4 linked regions of the Arabidopsis thaliana genome follow. The protein of the gene in region 4 interacts with the protein of the main gene of each other region in a pairwise test. Each region holds a gene or a part of one and is shown on either strand. Other genes may lie near its edges.

The links.
Region 1: the proteins of NTL8 (region 4) and NF-YC13 interact in a two-hybrid assay, tested with the Arabidopsis thaliana proteins (one large-scale study listed by BioGRID).
Region 2: the proteins of NTL8 (region 4) and MYB117 interact in a two-hybrid assay, tested with the Arabidopsis thaliana proteins (one large-scale study listed by BioGRID).
Region 3: the proteins of NTL8 (region 4) and JAZ12 interact in a two-hybrid assay, tested with the Arabidopsis thaliana proteins (one large-scale study listed by BioGRID).

The regions. Positions count from the first base shown.
Region 1 is NC_003076.8:17,353,335-17,360,156, reverse strand, and holds NF-YC13 (nuclear factor Y, subunit C13), read left to right. Parts: upstream 1-3,450; 5' UTR 3,451-3,590; coding exon 3,591-3,983; 3' UTR 3,984-4,312; downstream 4,313-6,822. Other genes in the region: AT5G43260 (chaperone protein dnaJ-like protein), read left to right, coding at 2,171-2,464; AT5G43240 (hypothetical protein (DUF674)), read left to right, coding at 5,392-6,048, 6,117-6,822.
Region 2 is NC_003070.9:9,267,638-9,275,655, forward strand, and holds MYB117 (myb domain protein 117), read left to right. Parts: upstream 1-3,314; 5' UTR 3,315-3,395; coding exon 3,396-3,792; intron 3,793-4,045; coding exon 4,046-4,480; coding exon of another isoform or gene 4,481-4,491; intron 4,492-4,578; coding exon 4,579-4,826; 3' UTR 4,827-5,076; downstream 5,077-8,018. Other genes in the region: AT1G26790 (Dof-type zinc finger DNA-binding family protein), read right to left, coding at 6,220-7,173, 7,303-7,467. UniProt on the Arabidopsis thaliana protein: Probable transcription factor that involved in boundary specification, meristem initiation and maintenance, and organ patterning.
Region 3 is NC_003076.8:7,086,609-7,094,588, forward strand, and holds JAZ12 (jasmonate-zim-domain protein 12), read left to right. Parts: upstream 1-4,095; 5' UTR 4,096-4,274; coding exon 4,275-4,399; intron 4,400-4,789; coding exon 4,790-4,892; intron 4,893-4,966; coding exon 4,967-5,147; intron 5,148-5,238; coding exon 5,239-5,296; intron 5,297-5,306; exon of another isoform or gene 5,307-5,496; coding exon 5,497-5,593; 3' UTR 5,594-5,931; downstream 5,932-7,980. Other genes in the region: AT5G20890 (TCP-1/cpn60 chaperonin family protein), read right to left, coding at 412-558, 646-961, 1,061-1,546, 1,800-1,876, 2,102-2,217, 2,389-2,460, 2,559-2,687, 2,789-2,900 and 3 more; AIP2 (RING/U-box superfamily protein), read right to left, coding at 6,055-6,204, 6,286-6,498, 6,773-6,969, 7,058-7,262, 7,535-7,702. UniProt on the Arabidopsis thaliana protein: Repressor of jasmonate responses.
Region 4 is NC_003071.7:11,678,512-11,686,130, forward strand, and holds NTL8 (NTM1-like 8), read right to left. Parts: upstream 3,461-7,619; 5' UTR 3,445-3,460; coding exon 3,264-3,444; intron 3,191-3,263; coding exon 2,937-3,190; intron 2,865-2,936; coding exon 2,667-2,864; intron 2,281-2,666; coding exon 1,906-2,280; 3' UTR 1,765-1,905; downstream 1-1,764. Other genes in the region: AT2G27290 (FAM210B-like protein, putative (DUF1279)), read right to left, coding at 75-245, 334-531, 1,018-1,254; AT2G27310 (F-box family protein), read right to left, coding at 5,443-6,456. UniProt on the Arabidopsis thaliana protein: Transcriptional activator activated by proteolytic cleavage through regulated intramembrane proteolysis (RIP), probably via metalloprotease activity.

The sequences.
Region 1 (6,822 bases), on a different chromosome or scaffold from region 4:
AAATTAAGCTACAGATGTCAAATGCAATTATTCAAGATGTTAAAGACTCAACCGAATCATATATATGAAAGTTGGCCAACTCTCTCCTACAACTTGACACATCAGCACATGAGAGCTTCCCACCTAAACTTCATAAAATAAATAATACATAAATAGTAATTAATTCAACATAATAACTAAAATAGGAGGATATAATTAATCAGAACTTGAACCATCACTCTTTCTACATTTTTTAATTCAATATATCCTTTTTAATTTTGAGATCCAAACATGTTACACATATTCCTTGCCTAAAAATTACACGATTATTATGAAAGAAACTAAATGAATATGCAGATTAAATATATCTAAGCTTTTCAAGATTTATGCTAAGAAAACAAGTAATTTGAAAGATGTTTGAGGAGTTATCCTTAAAACTAATACGTAAGATAGAAGATTATGACAAGAACTTAACTAAACTTTCCAAGAACATCAAGTTGAATATGATTAGATTGGTTATGCAGAGACATGGTTAATAAAAACATGTTATATTTTAAATGTAAGAAAGAAATTTTCTAAAATTTCACCGTTTCACAAACTAAATATATAACCAAAAGAACAAGGATATATAAATTAAAAAAAAAAACTGAGAATCTAGAACAACAATAAAAAATAACTCAAGCATTTTCGTTTTCAGATGAACTAATATAGTTGGACTTTTTGAAAACAATTACAAATCATATTTATGTTTCAAAACCGATGCATTTAACTTTACTTTATATGAACAGACATTATATAAAACAATTTGTAAATAGTAATACATAAACCCGCACGTAGTGCGGGTACTCATCTAGTATACAATAATAAAAACTTCAAAATGATGCAACAATAGCTCAGAATCTTCATATATGGGCCACTCGGCCCACGCCGAATTTGAAAAGCCCGATATTGGAAGTAAGCACGTGCGGTTGTGAGAATTGCTTCTTCGTCCACCATTGGACATGTTTATGGCTGCGTTCGACGCGTGATTTGTTTGTGGAGAAGAGTGCATCGCCTGATAATTCAAGCAACCTAGTTATAGTACAAACGTGAAAGAAACAAAATTAACCCAAAAAATGAAATGGAAGGTTACAATTGCAACCCTTGCAAGATAGTACAACAATATAATAGTAACAATAGAACAATAAACCCTAACCAAACAAAGTAAGAATTACATTCCTCTAATTTTAGTGCATGTAAGTTCGGTTATCACTGCAAACTTAATCATTTCCCTATTGACTAATTCGTAACATAGTTTATACTTTCGATTAATCAATTAATTAATTTACAGTGAATTTGTGAAAAACTTCTAACGAGAAACTTATTATGTTATAAAAGTCAACAAAAGAACTGTATCACACAGAACATATATATTGGGTCTGATTGGTAACCAAAAACTATACAAGTTATTTAGCTGTTAGCTTTATCGGAATAGTGTAAAACTGTTAAAATGAGCTGTACAAAAAAACTGAGAGTAAATTTTTTTGTAACGCTTTTGATAAAGTTTTTGTGATTAGTAACTGTCAAAATTGTATTGTTATTAAAATGGTTACCATTCAAATCTATTAGGTAAAATACAGAGCCGTCCATAAGTACAAGCGGGTCAAACACAAGCTTGTGGCCTCAATTACTATAAATAAAATTTTGATTTTTTTTAGTAGAAAAATTAGTTGCTTGCTTCTTTGATGACAAAAAAAAAAAAGCAAGCAGTCAGATAAATCAATGATAATCTAAAAAAAAGAAAAATCTGACGAAAAAAAAAAAGAAAAAAAAGAAAAATCTGAAGGTTGTACACTTGTAGAAGATATTTTACACACACAGCCCAATAAAAACCCAAATCCAAAAACTGGAGTATCCAAAAAAAACACGGCTGTTTCATTCATCTCCTCACACAACAACTTAACCCTCACTAGCCCACGTGTTTACTTTCTCAACCATTCCCTTATCTCCCAAAATTGTATTTACTTCAAAAATAAACCGAACCGTATCAAATTAAAACAAGACCACACTTTTGTCTGAACACAAAAAAAAAAAAAACTTTTATTTTTTCCTCGAGACGTCTCTCTTCTTCAATTTCTTCACGATTCTACTTTTGCGTTATCCCCAAAATTGGCAACCAAAACCAAACCTCTCTCTCTTATTGAAACCAACAATGAGTCCGATCGTCATAACCCAGTTAGCTACAGGAATCAGCGTTTTAGCCGGTGCGGTCTTTATCAAATCAGTCATGGACCAAAAGCCTATGGCTGGTCAATTCCCTCGTTGTCCGACTTGTAACGGTACTGGACGAGTCACGTGTTTCTGTTCTCGATGGTCCGATGGTGACGTTGGATGTCGTAGGTGTTCTGGTTCAGGTCGTGCGGCTTGTAGCAATTGTGGTGGTTCTGGAACTGGTAGACCTTTACCGGCTCAGATTACGGTTCAGCCACCGAATCGTCCTTATTGATGATTCTCAAGAAATTTGTATACTTTGTAAACGATTCTTCTCTCTTGAACTCTCTCACTCTCTGTCTTGTAAGTTGATTATATATATATACACATAGATGAGAAACAGATTTGATAGCTTCTGTGATATTTTTTCTTGTGTTGGGTTGTTTTGTTACTGTTCATAGTCAAAATATTCGAATTTGTCATTATTGGTGGCTCAAATCTTTAGTATTAACTATTAAGAATTAAGATGATGGGTTTGATCCAATGATACGAAAAGTTAGCTTCTTCTTGTATATTGTTGTAAATGGACTTTGTTGGATGTGTTTGGTTCATGTCTAGTACTCAATATGTGACCATGAGATGTTTCAACAGCCTCTTGTTCCAATGGTATGAAATTGGTTCATGTCTACAACCTCAAAACGTTGTAGAGGAAGGAGTGTTGTGTGTGAATTTTGTGAAAAGCTGCGAATAGTAAAGAGGAAACGGATTAGTTATAACAAATTAAACAGCTACAATTGTAGTAGATGGTCTCTCAAGTCTCAAGATTAGAAACATCTCGGAGCCAAAAAAAGGCTTCCTACAGCCATATAGAAGTATAATCTCAAATCATTATCCACACTTGGAACTATCTCTAAAGCTCATTTGTTATTTGATGGCATTTCTAGTTCGATATGCCACTCCTTAAATCCGTTGCGTTCGTGAAGGATCAATGGGGTTCAATTCAGGTAGCTAGGAGATTTGTACCAACTTGTAGCTTTCTAGAATTCCTTGTACAATGTGATCCAAGTAAAAGAAAGAATCGGTTAAAATTTTCAATATAAAACTTTAAAATAGACTACTAGTACTAGTTTGAGCTAGACAGTGACTCATGTAGAAACAATCTCTACAACATAAAAATCTACGAACCATACCGGGTTACCAAACGTTCTTCTCAATCTCACCAATCGGTTTAAGCTGAAAACCCGAATTAGCAAAATCTTCGTTCGGGCTGTTTTGGTTAATCCGGTTTACATGTTTTCTCATTGCTCATTTTCATTTTCCCGCCGTGACAGAGCGCGTAAATCTCAAAACCCTAAAAATGTCGAACATATACAATTCATTACCTTAATCAGATTTTCTCAACAGAATCAAAATCAAAATCCATGGAGGAAGAAGAAGGATCAATCCGACCAGAGTTTCCAATCGGAAGAGTAAAGAAGATAATGAAACTGGACAAAGACATCAACAAAATCAACTCAGAAGCTCTTCACGTCATCACTTACTCCACCGAACTCTTCCTCCACTTCCTCGCCGAGAAATCTGCTGTTGTTACGGCGGAGAAGAAGCGTAAGACTGTTAATCTCGATCATTTAAGAATCGCCGTGAAAAGACACCAACCTACTAGTGATTTCCTCTTAGACTCGCTTCCGTTGCCGGCTCAGCCTGTCAAACATACCAAATCGGTTTCCGACAAGAAGATTCCGGCGCCGCCAATTGGGACTCGTCGTATCGATGATTTCTTCAGTAAAGGGAAAGCAAAGACTGATTCAGCCTAAAGTAAAATTTCTCATTTTGTTCACAATTGCAAATTTTACTCTGTTCTCAAATCAAAATCTTGTTTTGCTAAAAGTGTAGTGAGAATGTATGGATCATGAGGAACTTTTATAGGAATTGGTAATTTTAAAGATGTTGTGTCTATTAGCATTTCTACTAATTGGAGAAACTGATTCTTGTCCTGTGACTGTGAGATACATCTCATTGTGTTGCTTAGAAATCTCTGCATTGCTCTAACTTTGGTGTGTAGAGATTGAGAGAGAGAGAGAGAGAGGTTTGGGATGTGTATTGTTCTTCTAAGCTATTCTTATATGAATACTACTTTTGAGTGTTTATGTTCTTCTGAAAGAACATGGCTATAGAAGTTGTCGCCGTTACAATAGTATGTTATACTTTCTTTGATTGTGAGCTAATAAGCGCGGTTGTGACCGAGCAAAATGAAAGCTTTTGCGGAATGTATGTTTCAGTTTTCTTTAGTTTTTCATTCTGACAAGTTTTCTAGAGTAGAAGTGAACCAGTCTGATGGGTAAAGTCTGAAACTTTTAACAAGAAAGTGTGATATTTCTCAAGATCACTATCCATGGTTACATTTCTCAATAACTCCTCTCAAACTTCATCTTATATCATCTGCTTTGTAGTGTGGATTTGGTATATGTTCTTTATTTGCTTTTATGGTTTCAGACCAAGTCTAGTGGTATTCAATGATGACTTGAGTGTCCAAAAGCTCTTATTATGTTCTCGGAATTGTGAAAGAAAAAAGTGATTATGTTGACATATCAAATTGATTGAATCCAATGGAACATCCACTTTCTTTAATATTCCGTTTAGTTATTATGAGAACTTGAACCGTTATAATTAAACAACATAAACCAAGCAATTGTGTTCTTTTCGGAACTTGTGGTACATGAACCCGGCGAATTGGATTTACTTCGTTATTTGTTGCCTCTTCCATTCCCGAAACCTTTAATTAAGGCCTTTGACCATGTCTTCTCTAAACTGTTCCACTTCCTCCACTTAAGCTTTATATAAAACCTCAAGTCCTATGAAAAGAACACAATTGCTTGGTTTACTCTAACAAGGTAAAATCTTACGCAGCATATATAGATCATATTGTTGAATATTTATGAAAGTAGTTTTTCCAAGAATTGATGTGTTTGTAGTTTCTTCTGTTTCTAAGCACTAGGAAACCATTTCTTTGATGCCACGTTAGACTATGTTCTTCTGAGGTTTTTGTTCATTGTTAGCCTCGTTACGTATTTTAGCATGTATGATATATGAACAGACTCCGCTCTGTTTAGCTTTTATAAAATTGTTACCTATTTATACAAAATCAATGTAGCTATCGTCTCTAACATGGCTGTGTAAAAAGTGACCTTTTTCATTGTATCAGTGCAGATTTTGTATCAAGACATGTCAGCTACTTTGAAGAATCCGGTGATTAAGTTGAAACTACTCATAGATGAAGAGAAAAACAAAGTTGTATTTGTTGAGGCGGGTAAAGATTTTGTCGATTTACTCTTTAGTTTTTTTACTTTGCCAATGGGAACGATTGTTAGATTGCTGGAGATGTATAAGAAGTCACAGAAAATAGCAATAGGCTGTTTCAGCAATATATATGCAAGTGTTGTGAGTATGGGCATTGAGCATTTCTTGACTGAAGCTTGTAAGCAAATGCTTTTGTATCCGGGCAGTTTGAATCATGAGAAATGTCGAAACCTTAAGCTGAGGGTAGATGATTCCGAGGCTACCAAGTATTTCGTGTGTCCTAAGTTTGTGGAACGTGAGCAATGTACTGAAAGTTACAGCAATTTTAATACCTCGAGATGTAGCTGTGGTGTTTTGATGAATGAAGTGACTCAGCTTGATGGAAGAGGAGGCCTAGCCAGTGCAGGAAATGGTGTTGAAGGTGGAGTATTTGTTAGGAGTGATCATACTTCATTCATGATCACTGATGATTTGAAAGTGGAAATTACCTCTGTTAGGTTGACACTTAATGTTCTTAAAGATCTTGGCTACGTAGATTGTGAAAAGTTGGATGAGAAGATTCATGACGTTAATCTCGAAGAGGTATTATTTTTCTTCAGCTAGACTTTTAAACTTCATGCTCTTATGCTATTTTCTCTTAATTTTTGTAGGTACCGACTTTGCTGGAGTGTTTGTCTACATCGGATAATCCATTGACCGATACATTTCTGAAAAAGAAAAGTTCATATAGTACAAAGAGGATTCAGAAATTGCCGAGTCCTGGCCTCTGTGAAGATAGAGAGGAATCAACACCTGACCAAACGATTACACTAAATGTTGTAAAGAAGGAAGGAAACATTCTGTTTGTTGAATGTGGTGATGACTTTGTTGATCTTCTCTTCACTTTTCTTGCTATACCTCTAGAATCTGCATGGGGAATAGCTGGCGATGGAATCATCATTGGATGCATTGGAAACTTGAGCAAAAGCTTTAAGGACTTAAGTGTTGATCCCGGACGAGAAGCTAAATGTGTTCTTCCTCATTACTACAAGTGTCAGAAGCAGCTACTTGATGCTGTCACCACCCATAAGCCACCGACTTTCTACTTGTATGTGTCCTCCATGGCTTCGAATCATATTAGAGAGTACCGTTTGTCAGAAGACTCCAGTAAGCCACTTGTTTATTTTTGGGATGAACTCATGCCCATGATTTCGATAGATCCAAAATCTAAAGGTAGTACTAACACTACTGATGAGTCAACAATACCCAGTGGTGGCTTTATGAAGAGAGGGACAAAGTTTATGATAACAGATGATTTGATCATCACACCTTTGAATTCAACCTCAACCATTGGATTGGTAAAAGAAAAACAGATCC
Region 2 (8,018 bases), on a different chromosome or scaffold from region 4:
TTGTTCACAAAATAACGTGATTGATTAGCATTTGAAATTATTTGATTAATTGACAAGTTAATATTTATAATTAAACTCATGGGTGAAACGAAATGCATATCTATAGCTAATTTATTTATAGCTAGCGTCTTAAAAATCCATTGAATGACATATATATTTTGGTGATGTAATCCTAATATTTATAACATTGTACACGTAACCTTCTAGTTTTATATTAGTCTAAATACTTTACGAACTCAACATAGGCAAAATCCAAACTAGTTCGATTTTGTTTTGTTCTATAGTTTTCTCTTTTCTAAGCAAGTATATTCCCTAAGTGTTCGTGATTGTTCGATAGATTTATTGTGATCGTGCGTGGGTGTAGTACGATAAGGAGAATACACGTGATGGTTGTGCGACATCACACGCCAAAATCGGACCATGGGGACGCATCACAGTTGAAGAGAAAAGACTTCTCCTTTGAATTGAATTGGATCCTATGTTACTCTAAATGTGCACGTGTTCATCATCTCCACCTCTCATTATCATTACCAATCCTTATTCTTGATTTAAAACGGATTTTAATTTTCAAAGAACTCAATGTTTACTTGCATTGACTACTAATTATTGAGGACATCTAAAATATCTAAGAAAAAAAACTCTTGTTAATCAATAAAAAAAGATCCCATATGTAAGTAATTTTATTTCTTTGCTTTTTTATTCTTAGTCTAAGATCACTAATCACATAACATATTACATATAGATGGATGCCACGTCAGAAAAGAGTCTATTTGAAAGCGAACTTTTCTTTCGAGTAAAACACAAACCTGACCAAACGTGTAACAAAATTAAACATTATCGTACAAGGGGACATTGTAACACATGAATAACTAAGGTTGATAAAATTTGTAGACGGACATAAAGAATTCCAAGAAAAGTGAATTAGGTGAAATTTAAATGGGCTATGGGGTCAAAGAATGGTCGAGAAAATAAAAATTAGATTATGTCAGACGAGTAAAATTGAGCTTTGGATTAATTCCAACGTTTTAGTGATTCCTTATTACACATTTGATGTATTTTTGTGACAAACTGACAAAAGTATATATTAATGCTATGTTGAAAAAGGTATGTTCAAGCTTGTAATCAATTTTGGACTGAGTCACGCATGGACCGTAGCTAATATATCCACCGAAACGGATTGACCATGAGATCGCAATCTATTTTATACCTCAGATAATTTTTGTCCCCTCACTATATGAGCTTTACATACATCTGTTTCCAGAGTAATTTAGTTGCTTATTCTGTTAGTCACTCCCTAAAACAAGCTACTACACTCGATCAAGCAGTAACATCAAACTCCTTTAATCTTCCAAGTTAGACTCTCTTCTTACTTTTCAAGGTATGTTTAAATATTTAACATGTTTATAAATAATTCCATGTGTAAATAGAACATATGTTTTTAATAACTTAGTATTTTAGACGAAAGAATCGAAAATCTAGTACTAGTCTACTGGATATAAACAAAGTAACAAGATAGATTCATAGCCCAAAACAAAAGAACAACCAAATCGAAGTCCCACTTTAGCTAGTGGCTCTACTTACAAACAAACATAATTAATAGTGTGTTTCACCATATTTTATTTCATCATTTCATTTTAAACGGTAAAAAAAAACTGATTACAATTTTTATAAATGTTTGTTCTGCAAAATATAAAATTAAATAAAGCTGCATAACTTTCTGTTTCATAAAATTATATAGTTCATATATACTTCTTCACCCAACCTTTTATTTCATATTTCATATATAATATTAATGTGTATTTCAAAGTGATTGACCAATTAAAAAGAAAATATGACGAAGAGAAAGAGAGTTTGTAGTGCGTTCGGTTAAATCTCTGTGCAGAGGATCGTACAGTTCTGAGACCCCTTTTGTATCTGTATTTATCCCATATTTAATGGTTACGTCTGCCAATTGGGATTTCTGGTCAAATACGAAAAGGTCTTAAAAGTTATTTCTTTACATTTTTACTGTTCATTCTCATTACTTATACACACTTCCACACGGCCACATTCCTCATGTATGTGGGATATTTAGGGTTGAGAGTTTTTTTGAATTGGCATTGTAATATCTCGTTATTAAAAACCATGAGACTGCTACAAAGAATAAAACAGTCAAAATTTCAAGATTATTTGATACAACATGACAAGGAGAAAATGAGTATATTGAAGCGATGTTTAATTAAGAAAAAAATTGAATGAAGAAAAAAGATTGTGGTTAATTTTTTAAGATAAGAGAGGGTTTCACAGAAACAAAAATGGTAGTAAAAAGTAAAGGAATGAAAGACAAGTGGAGATTAAGAGAGAAAGAGGTAAATTTTAAGGAACCCAAAATGAAATGAAAGAAAAAGCTGTCTGAGAATTGGTTGTGCTAAGAAGAGACCCGACTCATTCCCCAATGGTAAACTCTCTTTTTGCCTTCATCCTTTTTTGGTAGTTAGTTCTGCTTCAGCTTTTTTTCTTTCATCTCATTAGCTTTTATTATTTTCACCTTGCACCTATAAAACATGCATTGATTAATAGAGGATAAATTTCACCTAATAACGGTAAGATTCATTTCGGACTCGTCCAAGATATTCTCTACATTCATTGTTTTTTAGGTCGACACTCCCAACATTAATTTATTTTGTCATAATCCATTGGTTTTCATTAAATAAAAGAGGAAATACTATCTTATACATCAAACTAAGATAAACATTAATTATTCATAAAAGTAGGAAATTTGTATAAGGAACCATAGAGAAGCAGCGTAATTAATGTTATCGTTTGATTATGAACCCTAATACGACTATAAAACTATTGCATACTTTTCAATTACTATCAATCTATGGACATGGAAAAAAACTTGGTCTTCAAATCTTAGTTACTTTTAAATTTAATAAATGATTTATCAGAAAAACTCTTTAACTTCTATGAAACTAGGTACACCTGAACAAATGTATAACAGTCCACAGCAAAATCGAATATCGATAATACACATTTGTACTTACTTATTACAGTAGTGTATATGTAATATATATAATAATGTATAAATGCAAAGAACTCTGTCGTTTGAATTAGTCCGTGACGACGGTCCATAACCCTTTTTAACAGTCGTCAGAAAACACGGTCGCGACATGTACATACACGCACATACCTAAAGCCATACGTAACAAACACACCATTATATACAAAAGATATTCTATTATTTTTAAAAAATAATATTTATGACACACATTTACGTACGTGTATATATAATATGCAAATGCACTCACATAAGTCTTTCTCCTCCGATGGTATATGTCTATAAGCTGACGTGACATCTCTCTTAATTCTCAATAACACTTCTCTTCTTCTTCCTTTCTCCCAACACTAACTCCATGTTTATAACGGAAAAACAAGTGTGGATGGATGAGATCGTCGCAAGAAGAGCTTCTTCTTCTTGGGACTTCCCTTTCAACGACATTAATATTCATCAGCATCATCATCGTCACTGCAACACAAGTCATGAGTTTGAAATCTTGAAGAGTCCTCTTGGAGATGTAGCGGTTCACGAAGAAGAGAGTAATAATAATAACCCTAATTTCAGTAACAGCGAGAGTGGTAAGAAGGAGACAACAGATAGTGGTCAGTCTTGGTCCTCGTCGTCTTCAAAACCATCGGTCTTGGGGAGAGGACATTGGAGACCAGCTGAAGATGTTAAACTCAAAGAGCTTGTCTCCATTTACGGCCCACAAAACTGGAACCTCATAGCTGAAAAGCTTCAAGGAAGATCTGGTAAGTTAAATCAAAACCTTATTTATTTTCTATTTCTTTTGACAGCAAGTTAAATCAAAACCTTATAGATCTTCAAAATTTCATCAAAACCAGTTTGTTTGATTCATCTGGATCTGTCAAGTTCTTAAGATCCGGTGATAAAATCAATTTTTGTTTTTATTAGTTTTCTTGGTCTTTAGCCTTCTATGTCCAATCTAAGTCCTAACGTAATTTTTTTTGAGTTTTATTAACTTAATCTTGATTGTTTTTAAAGGGAAGAGCTGTAGACTACGATGGTTTAACCAATTGGACCCGAGGATAAACCGAAGAGCTTTCACAGAAGAAGAAGAGGAGAGGCTGATGCAAGCACATAGGCTTTATGGTAACAAATGGGCAATGATTGCGAGGCTTTTCCCTGGTAGAACTGATAATTCAGTGAAGAACCATTGGCATGTTGTCATGGCTCGTAAGTATAGAGAACACTCTTCTGCTTACCGTAGGAGAAAGCTTATGAGTAATAATCCACTTAAACCTCACCTCACCAATAATCATCATCCTAACCCTAACCCTAATTACCACTCTTTTATCTCCACTAATCATTACTTCGCTCAGCCTTTCCCCGAGTTTAATTTGACTCATCACCTGGTTAATAATGCCCCTATCACGAGTGACCATAACCAGCTTGTGTTGCCTTTCCATTGCTTTCAAGGTAGCCTATAGCTCTTCCTCCTCTTTCAATAGTTTTTTCAATTGTCTTTTGCATATTTTGAACTCTTTTTTGGTTTTTGTTATATCTACAACGTTCAGGTTATGAGAACAATGAACCTCCGATGGTTGTGAGTATGTTTGGCAACCAAATGATGGTCGGCGATAACGTTGGTGCCACGTCAGACGCGTTATGCAATATTCCGCACATTGACCCTAGTAACCAAGAGAAACCGGAGCCAAATGATGCAATGCATTGGATCGGAATGGACGCGGTAGATGAGGAGGTGTTCGAAAAGGCTAAGCAGCAACCACATTTTTTCGATTTTCTTGGCTTGGGGACGGCGTGAATGTTGAACAAATTGGTGTTAATCAGATAACGACAGTGGTTAAATTTGGTTACAAAAAAAATAGCATTTAGCTTTAGTAGCTAGAAAACAAACAAACCAGATCCTAGCCTTTGTCCTTGCGTTTACGTTAATTACTAAACTGTAGATTGTTGTTGTTGGCACTTGGTTGTCTAGTGTAACATTTGATAAGTCATTGTTTTTAGTAGTACTCGTTCAGAAATATTTAACAAAGAGAGATTGGTTTTAAAAAGTTGATTCTTTTATGATGAAGTGACGTGAAATATTGCTAAAGACGTGTTGAGAATAACAACGAGAGAGAGAGAGAGAGAAGGGAAATTAAAAAGAGTGGAGTTTCTAGGAGTTGGAGAAAGAGACGAAGATGCGTAATTAAGAGAAGAGGAACTGCCAAAATTGAGGCAGAGATTGTGCAACAGAAAGGCCAAACATGAAACATGCTCACCAAATCTCACACACACATTGCATTTGTTTCTTCTCTTCAAACCGTTTTTCCAACTCTTCAAGCTTCTTACCTATGTATCTCTCTCATGTCACGCGGACCCACACATGCCCTTCTTTCTTGTAATTCTTTCCATGTTGTAGATATAAAAGAAAAATTTAAATTGAATTGTTCTTTTGTATAGTTTTGGTTGGGTTAAAAAAAAAGGAAAAAAATTAGTTTTGGTTTTGAATATGAGTTTTTAAAATAATATATAACGTGGATAAATGTATGGGTTTTTCGGATTTTGAAAGGTTGTTGTAGAGAAGATTTTTAATTTACCCATTGGGTCTGAAATTGCTTCAATAGGCCCAATCTATTTCGGAGATGTTCTCGAGTCTCTCTTTTTGGGAACAAACATCCGAGTGAAGTCAATATTAAGTGATTTTCGAAAAGATAAAAACTATTCTAAAACTAATTAACATTTTTCCACTCATTTTAGTAATTCTCCCAAAGTAAAGTGCTTAAAGAGAGGGGGAAAAAAGTGCTTAAAGTGTTTTCTTCTTATTGTTTCCCTTTATACGCAAATGAAGAGACTTATTTTATTTTCAAAGAAAGAGACTTTTATGTTTCTCCTTTAGCTTTTAGTTTGTACCAATCAGATGGATTCTGTACCAAGGACTCCAAGTTAAGATTCTCTACTTTTTCTCCTTTACATGAAAATTCACACATATGTTTTTTTTCCAATTAATTTATACACTAGTACTACAAAATACAAATAATGGAGTAAACAATATTTTCGAACCACATTTACCAAAAAAGACATTACACTTCAGCATTTCCATCTGTTTGGATAATCTACAAAATGGGGATTGTGGTATATAAATAAGATAGATATTAAAAGTTAATTCATCACACAAAAAAAGGTATCTACAAAGTTTCTTTTCTCCTTTAACGTTATATGCTCTCTCTGAAGTTCATAGATCTTGCCATGGCTGCAGGGTTTGCTTGCAGGTTAAGATACGTTTCAGGGACGAATCTGTTGTTGCTGCTCTTTGTTTCAGCTCCATTACTGAAAAAGCTGAATTCTTGTGTCTTCTCGCGGGTCATCGGTACTGGATACCACACATGGTTATTTGTAGCCATACTTGTTTCATTTTTGATGCTCTGAGATTCCAAAAGCAAGCTTGTTCTCTCAAAAGCATTTTTACTCTCTTTAACAGTTTCATGAGAAGTTTCGTCTCTTGTCCTTTTCCCAAGACATGTAGAAGTGTCGAGGGTAGACCAAACCGGTATCGCGCAGCCCCAGTAGACGGGCATGTGGTAGAAACTAGGGTTTGGAGGGTATTGGTAAGGCCAAGGAGGCGAAACAGGGGATGCTTGGGGAGGAAGTAACCCTTGGAAGTTGTTGGGTTCTTGTGAAACAGGTTCAGCGTTTATCTTCACTTCGTTTGATTGATGCTTAGGCCTCTCAGTTACCAAAGAGTCCGAAGACTCGAAGCTTAGAATCTTTGTTGAGGAGCTATTGTAATTGTCAGTATCCTCGGAAGTGATGTGCAGGTACTGGTCTGAAGAAACCCATCCCTTGTTCTTGCGACGGCCTGAGCCAACCGGGACGATCCTCATGGATCCACCAGCGGTCCAATACCTCTGGCATTTTCTACAGAAGTGACGTGGCTGGTTAACGTTGTAGTTGTTGTAGTAACAGAATTTGGTGTCTGCGCTGTTGCATCTCGGACATGGAAGAATCTTGTCTGGTTTCTTCAGTTCAGTTGTTTTCTCTTCTTCCGATGTAATTGTTGTGATCTCGCTGTGTTGGTCATCACTGTTCTCAGATGTTTCTTTTGACTCGTTGTTAAGATTAGATGACAGCTTAAGACTTGTATTGTCAGTAACAGATTGGTTATTCATCTGAAAAAAATTGAAGGAACTTGGATTAGGATTAACATCATGAACTAGTTTCAAACTGATACAAGGACTAGAGAAAATATTAAATCTTTAGCATTTCTTAACAAATAAAGGTAAGACCATGAAACATACCATGTGTGGTCGAAGTGATAGAGAAGAAGACGAGGAAGACGAGGAAGAATCAGGAAGAACATGGGACGAAGAAGAGTATGGATCATGAGAAACCGGTGTAATTGTCCAGCCAAACAATTTAACCGGAGTATCTCTAACTTGAGACATACCAATCTTTGAAGACATAAGACAGAAAAGAAGATGGAGTATGAGATTAGATTTGTGTTATGTGTTTATTCTTTATTTGAGGTCTGAGACAAGAGTATGTATAAGAGGCTGAGGTTGGTATTAAATTAATAACGGATCACACAGAGCCACAAGCCATAAAGACAGAGAAAATGGAGAAATTACACGTCAGCTTAGAGAGGGACATGAAGAGATGAGAGAGCCACATGTTGCAAAAAAGTGGGCTTTTTGCTATCTCTTTTCATGCTCTTTTTGATCTCTCTTTCAGTGCCACTAAAAAGATTTGCCTCCTTTATTGTCAGCCACGTCTCATTAAAATGTACAACTTCTTTTGGAATATTCATACAGAAAATTAGAAATACAATAATGCGAAAACATTTACAAAAATGCCAGCTGCCATACATCAGTTCAAAATGCTATATTACAGATGTTCCAATGTGGTTTTGTGAATGAGTACAAAATATTTTGGTTTCTATACGAATAACCAAAATATTGACTACTAAAAAAATTGTTGCTAGGGTAAGCAAAATCAGATATTACAATATGAATAA
Region 3 (7,980 bases), on a different chromosome or scaffold from region 4:
CCTTATAGATATTTATTTATATATAAGATGGCCTACGATTTTTTCAGAAATGGGATCCTTCAAGTTTTCCTTTGGTATCCAAATAACTTACGTTTTGGTACTTCGTTTTTCTTTTCCACACATCCCTATTATATCAGAACCATCTCAGTGAAAATGCCAAAATGGGATGCAGGTAGAAACAGAAGACACAACGTCACAACCAAACAAATTAAAAACTTTGGAGCTAACACTTTTTTCAAACGTCTAAATTCAAACTCAAAACAAGATTAAAAGGAAACAAAACAAAAAGATGAGTTCTAAGGAGGAGCAAAACATTAAACATATTAGAAAAGTTGTATTCTGATCCAAATCGAAAACACAATCATGGAATCTCTAGGCTCCCACCACGTTCATGTGTTTGTGTTGAGTTTTTCACATCCTGTCTTCTCTCCTCCTAGGAGCACATGTAATGATTTCATCCACTCGCAATATCATCTCAGATGCTTCTGTGGCTGAAAGCAGAACCGCTTGCTTCACTTTGAATGCTTCATAGATTCCTCTCTCTTCCATATCTCCTACCTGTAAACAATCAATCATCATCATCACAATTCAAGTCTAGCCTTGCACATTCAATGGCGAATCCTAATGTTTATAAAGTTTACTTACAGCTCCAGTGATGACGTCGATCCCAGCGTTACACCCTTCAGTGTGGTGCTCTGCACGAAGCTGAGCAACCAATTCGGCACTGTCTAAACCAGCGTTGTCAGCGATTGTTGTCGGTATAGCAACTAGAGCACGTGAGAAAGCTTCAATGGCATGAGATTTTTTGCCAGCAGTTTTCCTTGCAAGCTCATCTACTTCCTTTGCCATCACCATCTCTGGCCATCCACCTCCAAGCAAAACTCTAGTATCATTCACTGTTTGAGAGAGTACACATAAGGCATCATGGAGTGATCTTTCAGCCTCATCTAGGACATGGTGACTGCAAGAAAAAAGAACCCATACAAAAATTGATTAGTGAATTAGAAACAGAATAAAGTTTAGACGAAGTCTTTCAAGTAATGGGAGTGAAAATGGATACCTGGCCCCTCTTAGGACAATTGAACAAGCCTGGCCCATTTCACAACCAGAGAAATGAATCAACTTGTCTTCACCAATCATGATTTCTTCTATAAGCTTGCAATGCCCAAGCTTAACAGACTCTGGGTTGTCAAAGGTCGAAGCAATTTCACCACCAGTAACCAAACCAAGACGCTCTATTCCCTCAAAGTCAGCATGCTCAATAGCAAGTATACCAGCATCAGCAAAGAGTTCCTCAGGGAAATTGTAGATCAACTGCCTGTTAACAAAGCAGTTGATTCCGTGGCCTATGATCTTCTTCACCTTGTCTTTCATTTTTTCCTTCTCAGCCCCTTCAATCTCAGCAACCTTGGTCATGGAATCCACACGGACACGTGCACCGTAAATCTTCACTTTATCGGTATCCATAGCAGTATTAGCTACTAAGATATTTGCATTCTCTATGCGCTTAGGCTGCCCAATTCCTATTTTCTTGTCAAGAATAAACCTACAGGCATAGATTTTAAGTTGAGGTGACATGAGACCATATTACTCGATAGAAGAAGAAACACAACACAACAAGATGACATGATGACTATCAACATTCCAAAATAACACTATAAATGAAATTAAGGTGCGTAAGCTATGAAGAAGAAAAGAAACACGACAGAGTTACCATGAACAGATGAATACTAAAGAAAGATCAATAGCTCAGAAAACTGAATTTGAACTGACGCCAAAGGCACAAAGTGTTGTCTTACCCTTCATCCAAAAACGAATCCTTCAGAGACCCTCCAGGTTTTTTGATGATCTGAATAGCTTCCAAGTTTGTGCTTCCCTGTTGAACGATAAAAGCAGAATGTCAGAAAAAAATCATATAACAATCCAAAACGAAACGATGCAACTATGGGAAAGACTAATGGTGAAATGATAATAGCCTAATTTCATGACATTTCGTCAAAGGAAGATCTTCTTTCATGAGATAACACATAAATCAAGAGAAAAAGAAGGAAGGAACACATGACATTGCTGAATCAGTTTCAAAAGGAGGAAGAAATGGAACCTTTAGCCTGAAAACAGCATCCACGGCCATTTCTGCAAAATGTTCCTTGTCCTGTGAGAGAATTTTGGAACATAAAGTAGTCATCGCAATCTTCAACAAGTCTGACCTAAACTTCTCTGCATTGACAAAAATACAATGCTGTAAAATAACAGTGTGATTTCCGTTCTGTATTCAACTGAAAGGAAATCACCGCTTGAACCCAACAGTCGAAGTAATCACACAAACAAGAAAATGCTATACTTAAATATGTCAGCATAACAAGGTTTAACCATCTCTATAATGATTACCTGCATTGTCCTTGTTATCAATGACTCTTTTCAGTAAAGCATTACGAGCACATTCCGAAGCCATTCTGTAACCTAAGAAACCAGAAAACGAAAAAATTAGAAATCATTGCCATAGTGAGAGAAGCTGATACAAAGTTGACATCTTAACACTTAAAGCTCCAAAAGTGTACCTGCTATGATGGTCATAGGGTGAATCTTAGAAGCCACAAGCTTTTCTGCTTCCCTCAGAAGCTCGCCGGCCAAGACAACAACAGAGGTAGTTCCATCACCAACCTCATCATCTTGAACTTTCGAGATGTCTGAAGAACAAACCAGATACAACGAACTGTGAGAGAAAACCCAACTAAGAAAAAACGAATGTGAAAACTTCATGCCAGAATGTCGCAGGGAAATTACATACCAACAAGAACTTTAGCTGCAGGGTTGTCTATGTGAAGTGACTTGAGAATAGTAGCACCATCGTTAGTAACAGTGACCGCATGACCTCTACCAGTAGATTGCAAGATTTTATCCTAAACAATAATAAAAAGGATTCAACAATAATCAATAGAACCAAATTGAAAGTTTGTAGCTTTCTAAATATTCAGAGATCGGAAATTACCATGCCCTTTGGCCCTAAAGTAGACTTAACCAGATCACTGATAGCCATTGCACCAACAAATGATGCCTAAAAGAGCAACAACAAAAGAAAAGAAAATCAGATTTAAACAGTAGAAGAGTGAATCTGAAAAACCCTAAATCCTAATCGATTCAAAAGACTCACCATCCTCGCACGTTCTCCCTTCTCTTCACTAGCATCATCTTTGAAGATCTTATCGATCTAAATACGAAATAGCTAAGTTCAGTTAACGGAGAGCACTGGGGAAAAGCAAAAGGATTGAAAGAGACGACGGAGGAACATTACCGGCATCGGGAAGAGCGGAAAAAGAAGAAGGAGGCTTCTTCAGTATCGGAGATATCCAAGTTAGTCGAATCTGAGACTAGCGAGAAACAATAGATGGGATCGTTCACGAAGAACGAACAAGCCGAGAGGATCTCGAAATATTGAGTGTGCTTTTGAAGAAGAGTAGAAAATGAGAGGAGAGAGCCAAAACCCAGATCTTTCGGAACCCTAAATGAAACTCGTAAAGACCAAACTACCCTCGTATTTCCCAGATTTCTTATGCGCCCTTCAGTAAAAACTAAAAAGTTTAGATTAACCCTTAACCAAAAAGTTATAAGTTACATTAAGAAGTAAATTTTATAGTTTCGACAATTTTGCATTTTGTTTGATTATATAGAGGAAAAAAAAAAATGTTCCATATACAAATTTGAATTTGGTGATGATTTAGCGGTCGAATACAAAAACAGAAATAAATTAATTCGTGATTTGTATGCGAATATTGTTACTAAAAAAAACTATAAATGTAAAGAGGCTTATAAAATAGAAAGAGAAACATTATAAATGTAAGCAGTCAAGGTCCATTTTAGAAGTCATTTTAAGACGACTAAGCCCAACAGTACTTTAAGAGCCCAATGAATCAAGGTCCAGCAAACTCAATTAGTTTAACGTCTCAGCCACTTATAAATTATACACGTTTGGAGTTCCGGATAACCGAAATGAGAAAGCATGTCCCACATAGAAGGCCAACGACACCGTATCATATTCGAGCACGTTTCTAATTACCCTCTTGTTGTCTTTTACTGTCGTAGCACCAAAAGTCAAACAATAAAAATCAATATCTATCGCCAGGTGTCAAATTACAGGAGCTTCTGAGAAGGATAAATCTCGGAGGTTCCCGGTCTGAACGACGTAGAGACGAAGCGAAACAAAAGTACTCTAAGGGAGAGAAGTATCAAAATTCTCATCGGAAAAAGACAGATCTACAAATTTTGAGAGACAAGCCATGACTAAGGTGAAAGATGAGCCACGCGCTTCCGTTGAAGGTGGATGTGGTGTTGCCGACGGTGACGGCGGCGCGGCTGAGATCGGCGGTACCGGATCTGTTGAGAAATCGATTAACGAAGTTAGGTATGAGCTGTGTTTACTGTTGATTTCACATGTTTTTATCTGTTTCTCTCTTTGCTTTGAGTTTAGTACTTAAAATTGTATCTTGTTTCTGATAAGGAAGATCAGCATTTCGATCTGGTTACTTTAGTTTCTATTTAGGGAAAGTCATATTTCTCAATGGAACCAATTTGTTTTTTGGCTGGAACAATTGGATTCTTAACAAACTTGTGTTTTTCAAAGTCCTTTAATGCATACATAAGTTTTCATGTGAATTTGATTAATAGAACTTCACCGTTAACATGTGAAATTGGAGAGACTGGATTCATATGTGGAGAGTTTTCTTAATGTTGCATCAATAAGTCCATCTTTATAGTGTCGGTCACAAGTTTAATAGATCTTCTGCTATTGAAGGTCCACGGAGATTCAAACCGCTGAGCCAACGGTTCCTCCAAATCAACTTACTATTTTCTTTGGTGGAAGTGTTACTGTGTTTGATGGACTTCCATCAGAAAAGGTTGGTCCATTAGAGCTTTGTTGTTGTCAGAAAAACTTCAGAATTTCTGTTCTCACTGTGATCTATGCCTATAGGTTCAAGAAATCCTTCGTATTGCTGCTAAAGCAATGGAGACAAAGAATTCTACAAGCATCAGTCCTGTCTCATCGCCAGCACTGAACAGAGCTCCTTCTTTCTCAAGCACATCTAATGTGGCATCACCAGCTGCACAGCCATTTCCTATTCAGCCAATCTCGTTTTGCAGATCCACGGCTGGTAAGTATTCGATTCAACTGGTTATAGTAATCTTCAAACCTTGAAAATGGATACTCTCATTAGTTTCTTACAATTATGTTTGCCGTAACAGATCTACCTATTGCAAGGAGGCATTCGCTTCAACGATTCCTCGAGAAAAGACGGGACAGGTATGCAGCCTTTAAAATTACACTTCATCCTTCTCCATTTCAATGGAAATTCAAATCTGATCTATTTTATTCAGTTTTTGATTGATTACTAATACAGAGCTTGTTAATGTACCTGTGAGAGACTTGTAAAGACAGATTGATCATAATGTTTAACCTTGATATTGCATCTAACAATAACATTCACTTTTTTTTATCTGCAGATTGGTCAACAAAAACCCTTACCCTACTTCAGACTTCAAAAAGACAGATGTCCCAACAGGCAATGTCTCTATCAAGGAGGAATTTCCAACTGCTTAGCAGAAGATCAAACCTCCACATTAAGCTTATAAGCAAACTAAGTAAAACGTTTTGTCAATATAGTAATTAATATGATAATCTATCATGTACGCTGCTGTGTGTAATGTGTTGTATGATAGTGTCTGTATAGGTTTGCTAGACAAACCGAAGATTGTTTCCATGTCTGGGAGTGGTCAGATATGTTTGCCATTTTACAATTCTACTGAAGAAACTATTGTAGTTAGTAACACTGTCCTAGAGTCTATCTAACTAATGACTCTTTGATGTTATGTTATTGAACTTGTCATCTCTTCAAGATACAATTGTGTGTAAAGTAAAGAAGTCTGTGTTGTTATTATAAGCTTTCATACAAAAGACATTGAATCTATATGTAAAATGGGATTTATAATTGTGAATGATGAACAACAATTCGGAGATGTTTCAAGGAAAGACAATGGGAGTGTGCCATAACTGATTGAAATTTAAACGTACATATATTCACCTCCGCGGACAGCATTCTCTGCGCCCTTCCTCTCTTCTTCGGCCTCTTTCTCTCTCTCTTTCCAGTTTTCGTATTTCTGATCGTCTGTTGGTAATTCATGGCGGCATATAGGGCAAGAGTTATGCTCGTCCTGCCATAAAACAATATGAGCATAAGCTTTATGTTCTTACTTACTAGTAAGCTTGAAAGAATGGGATTTTTTTTTTTATACCAGCCAAGGCTTTAGGCAAGGAGGGTGAAATGTGTGCTTGCATGGCAATTCCTGCATCTTGTCGCCAATAACTAGATTCTCCTTGCAGATGCAACATTCTGCCTCTGCTCCAAACTTTTTAAGCAATTCCTCGGTGAAAATAATGACTGGGAGTTTCTCTACAACTTCTTTACTTGCCGGTGGAGCTCTTGGTGGTCCACCATCATCTAGTATCTGCATAGAACACATCATATATCACTTTTCAATCATGAAGCTAAGAAAAAGACGCTACCAATACAATATTAGAGGTTGAGGTTAAACACTCTTGATACAGATGAGTGAGACAACCAAGTGGAGAAACTCAATATGCAAAAAACAACATATGAGTAGAATGCGGATGATTAAGAATTGCTTTCATCTCTATCTTTAGGTGAAGAAACTTGTGATATCAGCTATGTGTGATAGTACATAATCTAAAACTAGTAAGGAAGAAAAGAGAAGGCATTACATCTGGAATGATCATGTCAAGACCATTGATAAGTTCTTGCATCAAGTTAGCAGTTTCCCCAATAGTGTTTTCAGTAGGACCATTAGAGGATTCACCACCAACGATAGAAGCGAAAGCAGACATGAGATTCTGCTGTACTAGCCACTGAGGCTGTGGCGGCTCACGATCAACCGTAAGATGTCCCTCAAAAAGATAACCTGCAAAAAATTCACAAGAGAAATAAAAATCATCTCCAGATAAATTTCACTTAAAACCATCAAAAGCCAAACTAAATGTTTCACAAACCTTGTGAGCTCTCTGTTGGCTGATTATCTACTTCGCTTAACTGCTCCTTAGCTTGAGCAACGCAAGATTTCAAATGTTTCTTCTCAGAAGCATCAGAGACAAGTCGCTCAGCCTCTTCGAAAAGACTCAGTCCAGCAACCCAAAATCCAGTAGCTGTATATCTTGTCTTAAGAACCGTAGCGACACGAGATACAACTATATAGAACTGCAATGGCAATCAAATCAATACTATGTCACAGAGGGTAACTAAACAAAAACAGATCGGATTAAATGAAATTTTTGACATGAACATGAACTTTCTCCACAATTGAAATAGAAAAACAATAAAAGAAAGATATTTGATTCCTGATTCAATCCTCAAAAGTTAAACCCATCATCAGACATAAGCAATGAGTAAACGTCAAGGCAGGCATAAACCCTAACAATTCCGAATAATTTTGAATCTATTGATCCGAAAATCTAAGAATAAAAACCAACCTGTTTGCGGAGAGAAGGAGAGGAAGAAGAGTAGTGATCACGGAGAAGATTATGAATAGAACAAACGGATGCTTCGAATCTCAGCTTTTTGTTCAGCTGTTTCTGAAGATCATCAAGCTCAAGCTTCAAGCTTTCCTCGGAAGGAGACGGTGAAGACGATGCATCCATTCAGAAATTTATTTCTTAGAGTTAAGGAGAATACTCAGGGGTTTCGAATGATTTTGGGGATTTTGTAAGAATGATGCAAAAGAAGAACCAATCTCTTGTCTTCTGGGATTTTTGTAGGAGACGAGTTTTCTTGATCAGGAGGAAAGGACGAAGTCGGTCGGTTAATATAGTTCAGTTCGGTTTGGTTCGGTTCAAGACCAAAAGAACAATTGTTAATTACCAATTGTTCGGTTTGGTTTGAGACCAATTTTTTGTTGGTAAATACTAAATCGTATGCG
Region 4 (7,619 bases):
GATTGTACAGGATTATGTATGTTGATTATCAAGTAATATATAGAACATCTACATTATAATACCTCCAAAGTAAGCTACTTGTCATCATCCTTCTCCTTGTCCACTTTCTTCCCAATCCAATTGGCTACAATAGGAGTCAAAGCCACTGTAGGCGGAAACCTTATCGGAGATGCAGCTTTATGCGCTGCGTAAGCCAAAGCAAAGGCTCCTACTTTCTCTCCTGTCTCATTCGTCGAAATCCCAACCTTAAACACAAAACATCAAAATCAGCTTTACTCAACCCAAGATCAAGAAAACATAAACTTAGTATGATCAAGAAGTGAAAGTAGTAACCTTTAGAAGAAGAGCTTGAACATCAACACCGGAAGTCACAAGGACATAGCAGAGTGAGAAGGAAATGAGAGAAAGAGTAATAGATGTAGCGAGATAAGCACCACCATACTTTGCAAGTAACTCTTTAGCCTCATCTGTTTTTGATTTCTTCTTCTTATTGTCTCCATCACTTCCTTCATCATCCTTAGAGCTTAATATCTAATCACAAGTCCATCCAAAACACCATTTTACTACACAAAAACTTCCATAGATTCTACAACTTCCAAAAATGCTCCAAACTAACCAATCACATATGCTCACTTGTTGATAAAAAAAAACACCATTTTAGCATAGTTAAAAGCTTACATAACTTCTACAACTACCACGAAAACGATCATATCTACTCACATAATCATCTAAACACCATTTTAGTACCCTTAGAAGCTTCCATAGCTTCAACAACTACAAAATTGCTCACATAATCATACAAAACACCATTTTAGTTACACTTAAAGCTTCAATAGCTTCTACTAATACCAAAATTGCTCTGAATTAGCCTATCATTCAGCTCAGAAACAATCATATGTCCTCACATGTTCATCCAAAAACACTATTTTACTTACACTTAAAGCTTCCATAGCGATAGAATCATCAATTTTAGATTACGAATTAAAACGAGAAATTGCGCAATCGAATTGATTTTACCTTCCATAGACCAACTTCAAGGCCATATTTCTTGGTAACTTCTTCGGCGGAAGGAGGAGGAGGAGAAGAAGACGGCGGCGAAATGTTCTTATCAATGTCCTCCGCCTTCTCACGGACGGCTCTGCATCTGAATTTCTTCGAGGAAGCTGAAACTGAAGAGTGGAAGAATCGGATTTGAAGGTTTCTGGTGTTCAACAAGGAAGACGAAGGAGGAATTTGCAGAAGCATCATCGCCATTGTTTTTTTCAGCCACCAAAAAAAACAGAAAGCAAATCTTTTCACCTTATTATTTTTATTTATTGTATGACACACAATTATTTTTTATTTTTTTCTGAAGGTATACCATTTGTTGTATTAGAGGTTCCAGAGTAATCTTTTACATATATAAAACTTTAATATAGTATAAAAAATCCATAAGTAAGAAAAATATTTTTAGACTATTTTATAAATATAAAAAACTACAAACAACATTTGTTTGATTCTCAGGCGTTTATATTTTGAACTGAAACTTTTGTATATCTAAACATAGTCTAAAATAATTTATTTTACTTATGGATTTTGTATAATTTATTACAATTGTATATAACTAAGAATATCACTTTGCAATCTCTAATACAACAAACAGCAAAACTTAAGGAAATGGTGGTATTATTCACATTTACTATATGTGAAATTTGTTGTCTCTATTTTCACGGAACTATCATCTCTTTCCCAAAGCTTTCACCCAGATTATAAAGGTTTACTATCCGAAAATATTCTCTTTTCCATAAAAATTTTGGTTTGTACACAAGTTTGAATAATTGTTAAGACTAGCTCAACATGCCATATTGCCATAGACCAAATACTATATTTATTTATGTATAAATAATATGTATGTCGTAACTAGCTTTAGTTCCTAGCTATTAATACAGTCCAAAAGAAAGAAAATAAGATAGCCAAGAAAACAGTAGTGGCCAGAACATTCTTCATCAATCTCTGGCTATCATCTTTCTTGATTTTGAACGGGTTCGGGAATCTCCAGCTGGAGTCGGTTCCGGCAACGTTCTTGATCCTGAACAAAGCGTAACAATTCATTGTTTCCGTTGATTCTTTTTTTATACCACATTTTGACCTCTTACTCGATGACTCGCTTGATATTGTTTCTTGATGAGTTGGATTAGTTGGTCGAAACGCTTGGCTAGCTTTCAACGCTTCTTCGTCGAGCTTTATTATATCATCGTTCAGAATCTCGGCGTAACAATCATCATCGGTATCGGCCTGATCCTGCATCGCAATAGAAAGAGATCAACTTCAGTTACAAACTCTAAACTCTACCAGTACAAGAAAACTAAGGATGTTCAGCCCAAGTGTTGGTTTAGTCTATTGAGTTATAATATTAGTAGCCAAAATAAAAACCAAACATTGGATATATTGGTTTGTTACGTTTTAAGTTTAGAATCTGCTTTAGTAAAATAACAACTTTAGTGAAATCTAATGTACTATGAATCCGTTATAGTATGGTACTATGGTGTTGGTTTGGTTTTAGTTTCTTAATCGGTTCTGTTTTCGGAACTATATTGAATTTAATGTGGTTTCGATTAAGATTGGAGCGGATAATTTTACCAGTATTAAACATCGTTAAAAGACACATTCCTCAAAAGCAAGCTGACCTCAACAACATTTGATGATTCTGCGATGTCACCATTTGGTATCTGATGCTCAGATTCATAGTAGGATTTGTCCTCCTTCTCCAAACCACCTCTTTGGCCAACGTAGCCATCGTCTTGCACAACACCATCCTCCATTTTTTGGGTCGAACTAGCCCGAAAATCAGCATTTTTTCTTAACCGGCACACCACTAATGCATCCTGTGAAATCCAAATTTCAATATATCTCAAAACATTAAAACTCAACCTATTCAAAATGAAAGTTTTAAGAACCTGTGGGGCTCCATGGATGCAGTATTCATGCATAATCCACTCCGTTCTCTCGCCACGAGGAGCCCGACCGATATGAAATACAAGCGTTCTCTTGGTTCCAACAACTTGGTTCCCGGATTTAACACTCCGCTCTTTACCGGTCGCTTTCCAATATCCTAGCTGTGTGGCTCGCCGGCTTTGTGACCCGTGCGGGTACTTCCTCCCCCTCGCGCAGAAGTAAAACCACTCGTTCTCCGATTTCAGTTTCGATTCCTCTGTTTTATAGGCACAAACATTCAAATTAGTGAACCAAAGTAAACATAAAGAGAAAGAAAACCGAAGTAAAACCTGGCAAGTCCCACGGCTCGAACTTGTAAATCTCGACCTCAGCAATCACAGCAACAGAGTTCTCATCACCATCGATTTTACGACGAAGATAGTACGAGATAAGTTCAACATCAGTAGGAGAGAATCTAAAACCAGGGAACAAAGCCGACACCGCGATCGACATCTCAGCTTCTTTAGACATTGTTTGATCTTTTTGGCTCAGGAACTCGAAAATACTTTGCTTTAGATGAAGAAACATGCCTTATAAATGGCAAGTGTGCAGCTACTTTGCTTCGGGTAAAGGTTTTGTGTTTTTTGATATTTGGCGGCTTCAGAGGGAAAAAGGATGACGTGGACAATGACTGTAAGAATTGGGCGAATAACAGAAGAGTGTAATGAGATAGTAAAGGACAAAAATGATAACGTGGTTATGTATTATTGGACAGAACTCAAACCCAGCTCTGAAGTTCTCTCATTGATGCTTAATAAATCGTCTCTTCATTTTTAAACACGTGTTTCGATATCTTCCTCGGTGTTTGTACCCCGCATGCCAATAAGTTTTTGTTTTTGTTTTTTTGGGTGTAATAACTTATCAAAATGAATTTTTGTTTTTGACGGCAATCAAAATGAATTTAAATCACTTTGTAATTATTTTATTATCTTGCGCCAAGATATTTTCTTTTGTGTAATACAAGTTTTATATGAATCTATTTTATTATTTTTTTGTCGATGAATCTATTTTATTAAATACATTATATTTTTTTATTGCAATTTCTAATCTATTACTTTATTAGCTTACGTCATCATTAACGTTTTAGTTATTTTTAAAATATATAATAAAATCAATAAAATCATATCCTAACTAAACTATATATCCAAATTTGTATCCGTGTAACTTTCTCTAAACTAGTTTTATGTCCTCTAAGCTCATATTGGAACTTATTTGCTTCGAAAGATGGGTGATTAATCTAAACGTGATGGATATAAATTTTAGTGTTCACGTAAGATGATTATGGTTACGGTTATTACGGGTACGGTTTATTAACCATCAGTTACAGTTATAAAATTTTTTAACCTTAACTTTAACCACTATCTATGATTAAAATGATTACGGTTACAACAATTATGATTATATATGGTTATTGTTATTTGATGATTACAATATAGTTAATATTGAAGGCGAAATCTTAAGAATTACCCAAAATATTGTATTGCTTTTAATAAGATGAAAAAGTATATTGTACACCAAATTTTCTTCATATCAAGCAATGTAGCATTCCAACATATTTGTTTGAGAAAAAATCTTATTATTTTCTAGCTTAGATTTTTTCATATCTATTATTTACCTTTTTGACAATTTTTATCCAAACATTCGATATTTGTCTTTGCATATACACGATTACAACTATATTTTGTCTTTGCATATACACAATTACAACGATTATCCAACGATTTTGATACAGTTACTAATAATTAACGGTTAGTATTTTTTTTAATAGTAACTAATTTGTTTTTCAGTTATCGGTTACAGTTTTTAACCAGATTTAGTAACAGTCTGGTTACGGTTCGAAATGCGGTTACAAAATTTTGATCATACCTATACTCATAGTTGCAATCCAGGCAATGAATATGAGATGTGTTGTGTGTTTGCCTGTGGATATTGCCGTTTGGTTAACATAAAAACTGATTTGTGTTTTTTCTTCACCCAAACCATCAAGTCTATAAATCCCTAACCCACTAATCTGCCGGAAAAGAACCCCTACTAATCTAACAAACTGAATTGGGCCCTAAGCCCACACACGTTCGCAACAAACGGAAACAATAATTTTTAATCTATACTAAAAAAATTATTAAAAATATTTCCATAACTACCAAAAAATCTTCTTTGGCCGCCAAATTCCTTCACTGACTAATTTCCGACCGCAACTTATTTCTTTAACCAATTTCGTTTTCAGATTAGGTAATACGTCCAAAAGTGACATTTTAACGACTATATATATTCAAAACTTATCTATCATAAACAAACAAAAAAACACCAAAAAAAAATCAGTATTACGTCATGCTTCTCTAACCAAATATCTTGTATATATTTCTCAACAATTTTCTTTATTACAAATTCAAAGAACGAAAAAAAAAAGATGACAAAGAAATGTATGTATTATTGGATCATTTAAGTATTTTTGTACCTTTCTATAGTTATTTACCTTAACAAAATAAAACTCCACAAAAGCACAAACATAGAGAACCCAAAGATCATACAAATTGTGTCTTGAGCTTTTTCTCTCCTCTCTTTATTCTCTCTCCATTGTATCTTCATTCGCACGTATTCTTCATACCTTTCTTTAGCTCTTCTCTCTTCATCATCTTTACACGATCTCTTTCCATCTAACAACCCTTGTAAAATTACCAAACTATCCCTACCTTTCATACATTTTCCTTCTATGTCCTCTACTTGTAGCCTCACGTCCCTCACGTGTATTTCTCCTCCCACTTCCTCATCCACCTCTTTCCACGCTTCCGCTGACCCGCATGACACAACCGCCGCCACTTCCGCCGCCTCCGCCGTCACTACCGTTGAAAACCGTATTTCTAAATCCCCCGTTAGCCAGTTCCGCCGCGCCGACACCGCCTTTCGACTAGATATATTCGCCGCTCGTTTCTTGATCGGATCGATTAGTATCCAATTAAGTTTCATGCTCTCTTCCATATCTTTCACCCACGCTTCGTAGTCCCCACCCGGATATCGAATCCGGGTTTGGACCGACTCTTTCGGGTCGAGTATATCGACCCGAAACGGTGATGACAAGAACCATCCTGATTTACCTTTCTCTGTTTCCATCTCTTGTACCTTCGAGTATATAATCTCTCCTCTGTAGTATAAATCAACGGCTGAGATTAATCCCGTCGGTGGATCATGTTTTTCAGACTGCCACGTGTGTTCAGTGAACGGGTACGAGTCAGCAAAGAAAGAACGGTAACCGGAAGGGAAAGAGGAGATAGCTTGGACAACACGTGGATCATTGATCGAAGGCCACGTGTCGATGGAGAGTTCTTGCCAGAGTTTCTCTTCCGTGCATAGAGTTTGGAGGTAAGAAGAGGTTGTTGCGGTGGAGGCTAGCGTCGGACCATCGAGTCGGGTCAAGATTTGGGTTTGGATTATGTCAGAATGAAGAGTTGAGATTGAATCACCGTTGATGACATCGACGGTTGCCATTTTCTTTAGGGTAAAAACTATAAGAAGAGATGATTAAGAAATTAGAGAGAAGTATATATAATGAATGAATTAAATGACTAATGTAGAAAATAAAGAAAAGGATGAAGAAGGCGATGGTTGATCAGTCAACCATGGCTCTTTGAGACTATTCTACTTCAAGTTGAATGATTCTTCCTAATTTTCTAAAGTTTCTATACATAGTAGATACACACGCGTACACACACGCTCCATTTTCTTCTTTTTTTTATCACGTCTCTTTATGAAGTCTTTCATTTTTATCATAAGATTAAAAAGGTTCTTTTTGTCGATAAAGAAAAATAAAATATAGTATTTTTTTTCTTGTGAATGGATAAAATATCAGAGAACAAAGATCCGACGAGAAATGTTACATCAGTGTTTTATATAAAGTTTTAAAATAAATATATAATATTTAGATATCCATTATATTGTATATAGAAGAAATTTTCTATATTTTTAGTTATGTCCTTGATGAAAATGTCATATTTAACTGCGATTTAATACTGTTTTTGTAGTTTTCTATTGTTACATTTTTAGCTAGTATTCATGTATCTGGACTTGGATTGAATATCTCCAATTCTCCGTGCATGTATCAAATTTTGGTATGGCCTAAATCTGTATAATTGTTTCTTGATCGGGATGATGAACCTGACATTCCAAAAAATCAAGGAAAGTACGAACCTCTTTTTTTCTTTCTTTCAGTGATGTATCTTGTTTATAATTTATATATTATATACTCCATATTTTAGTTTATCAAATTTATTAATTTAAAATAACTACCAGTGCCTGTTTTTTCAATTCCGTTTGAATAAAATATAGGGTGCCGACAAAAAAAAAGAGAATAAACTTATCTTCGTAGAGAGATCACGTTATCTTTGCAACGAATTTCATATTTTCCACGTTACTTTATTATTGGTTGACTTTTCAAGCTTTTAGTATTTTGGTATATGAGGAAGTTGTCCGGATATCAAAACCAAAAGACTGGGACAAAACAATTTAGTTTTCATGGTCGGTTAAAAAGCTTTTAGACGAAATACTTTTTTGGTCTAGTCAGAGCCGGTGTTCTAATTATTGGCTCTCTTACATTTCTTTCTCTTTTGGTACGTAATGTAGTTAATAAAGGATGTAGTTTATAGTAGAGTAAG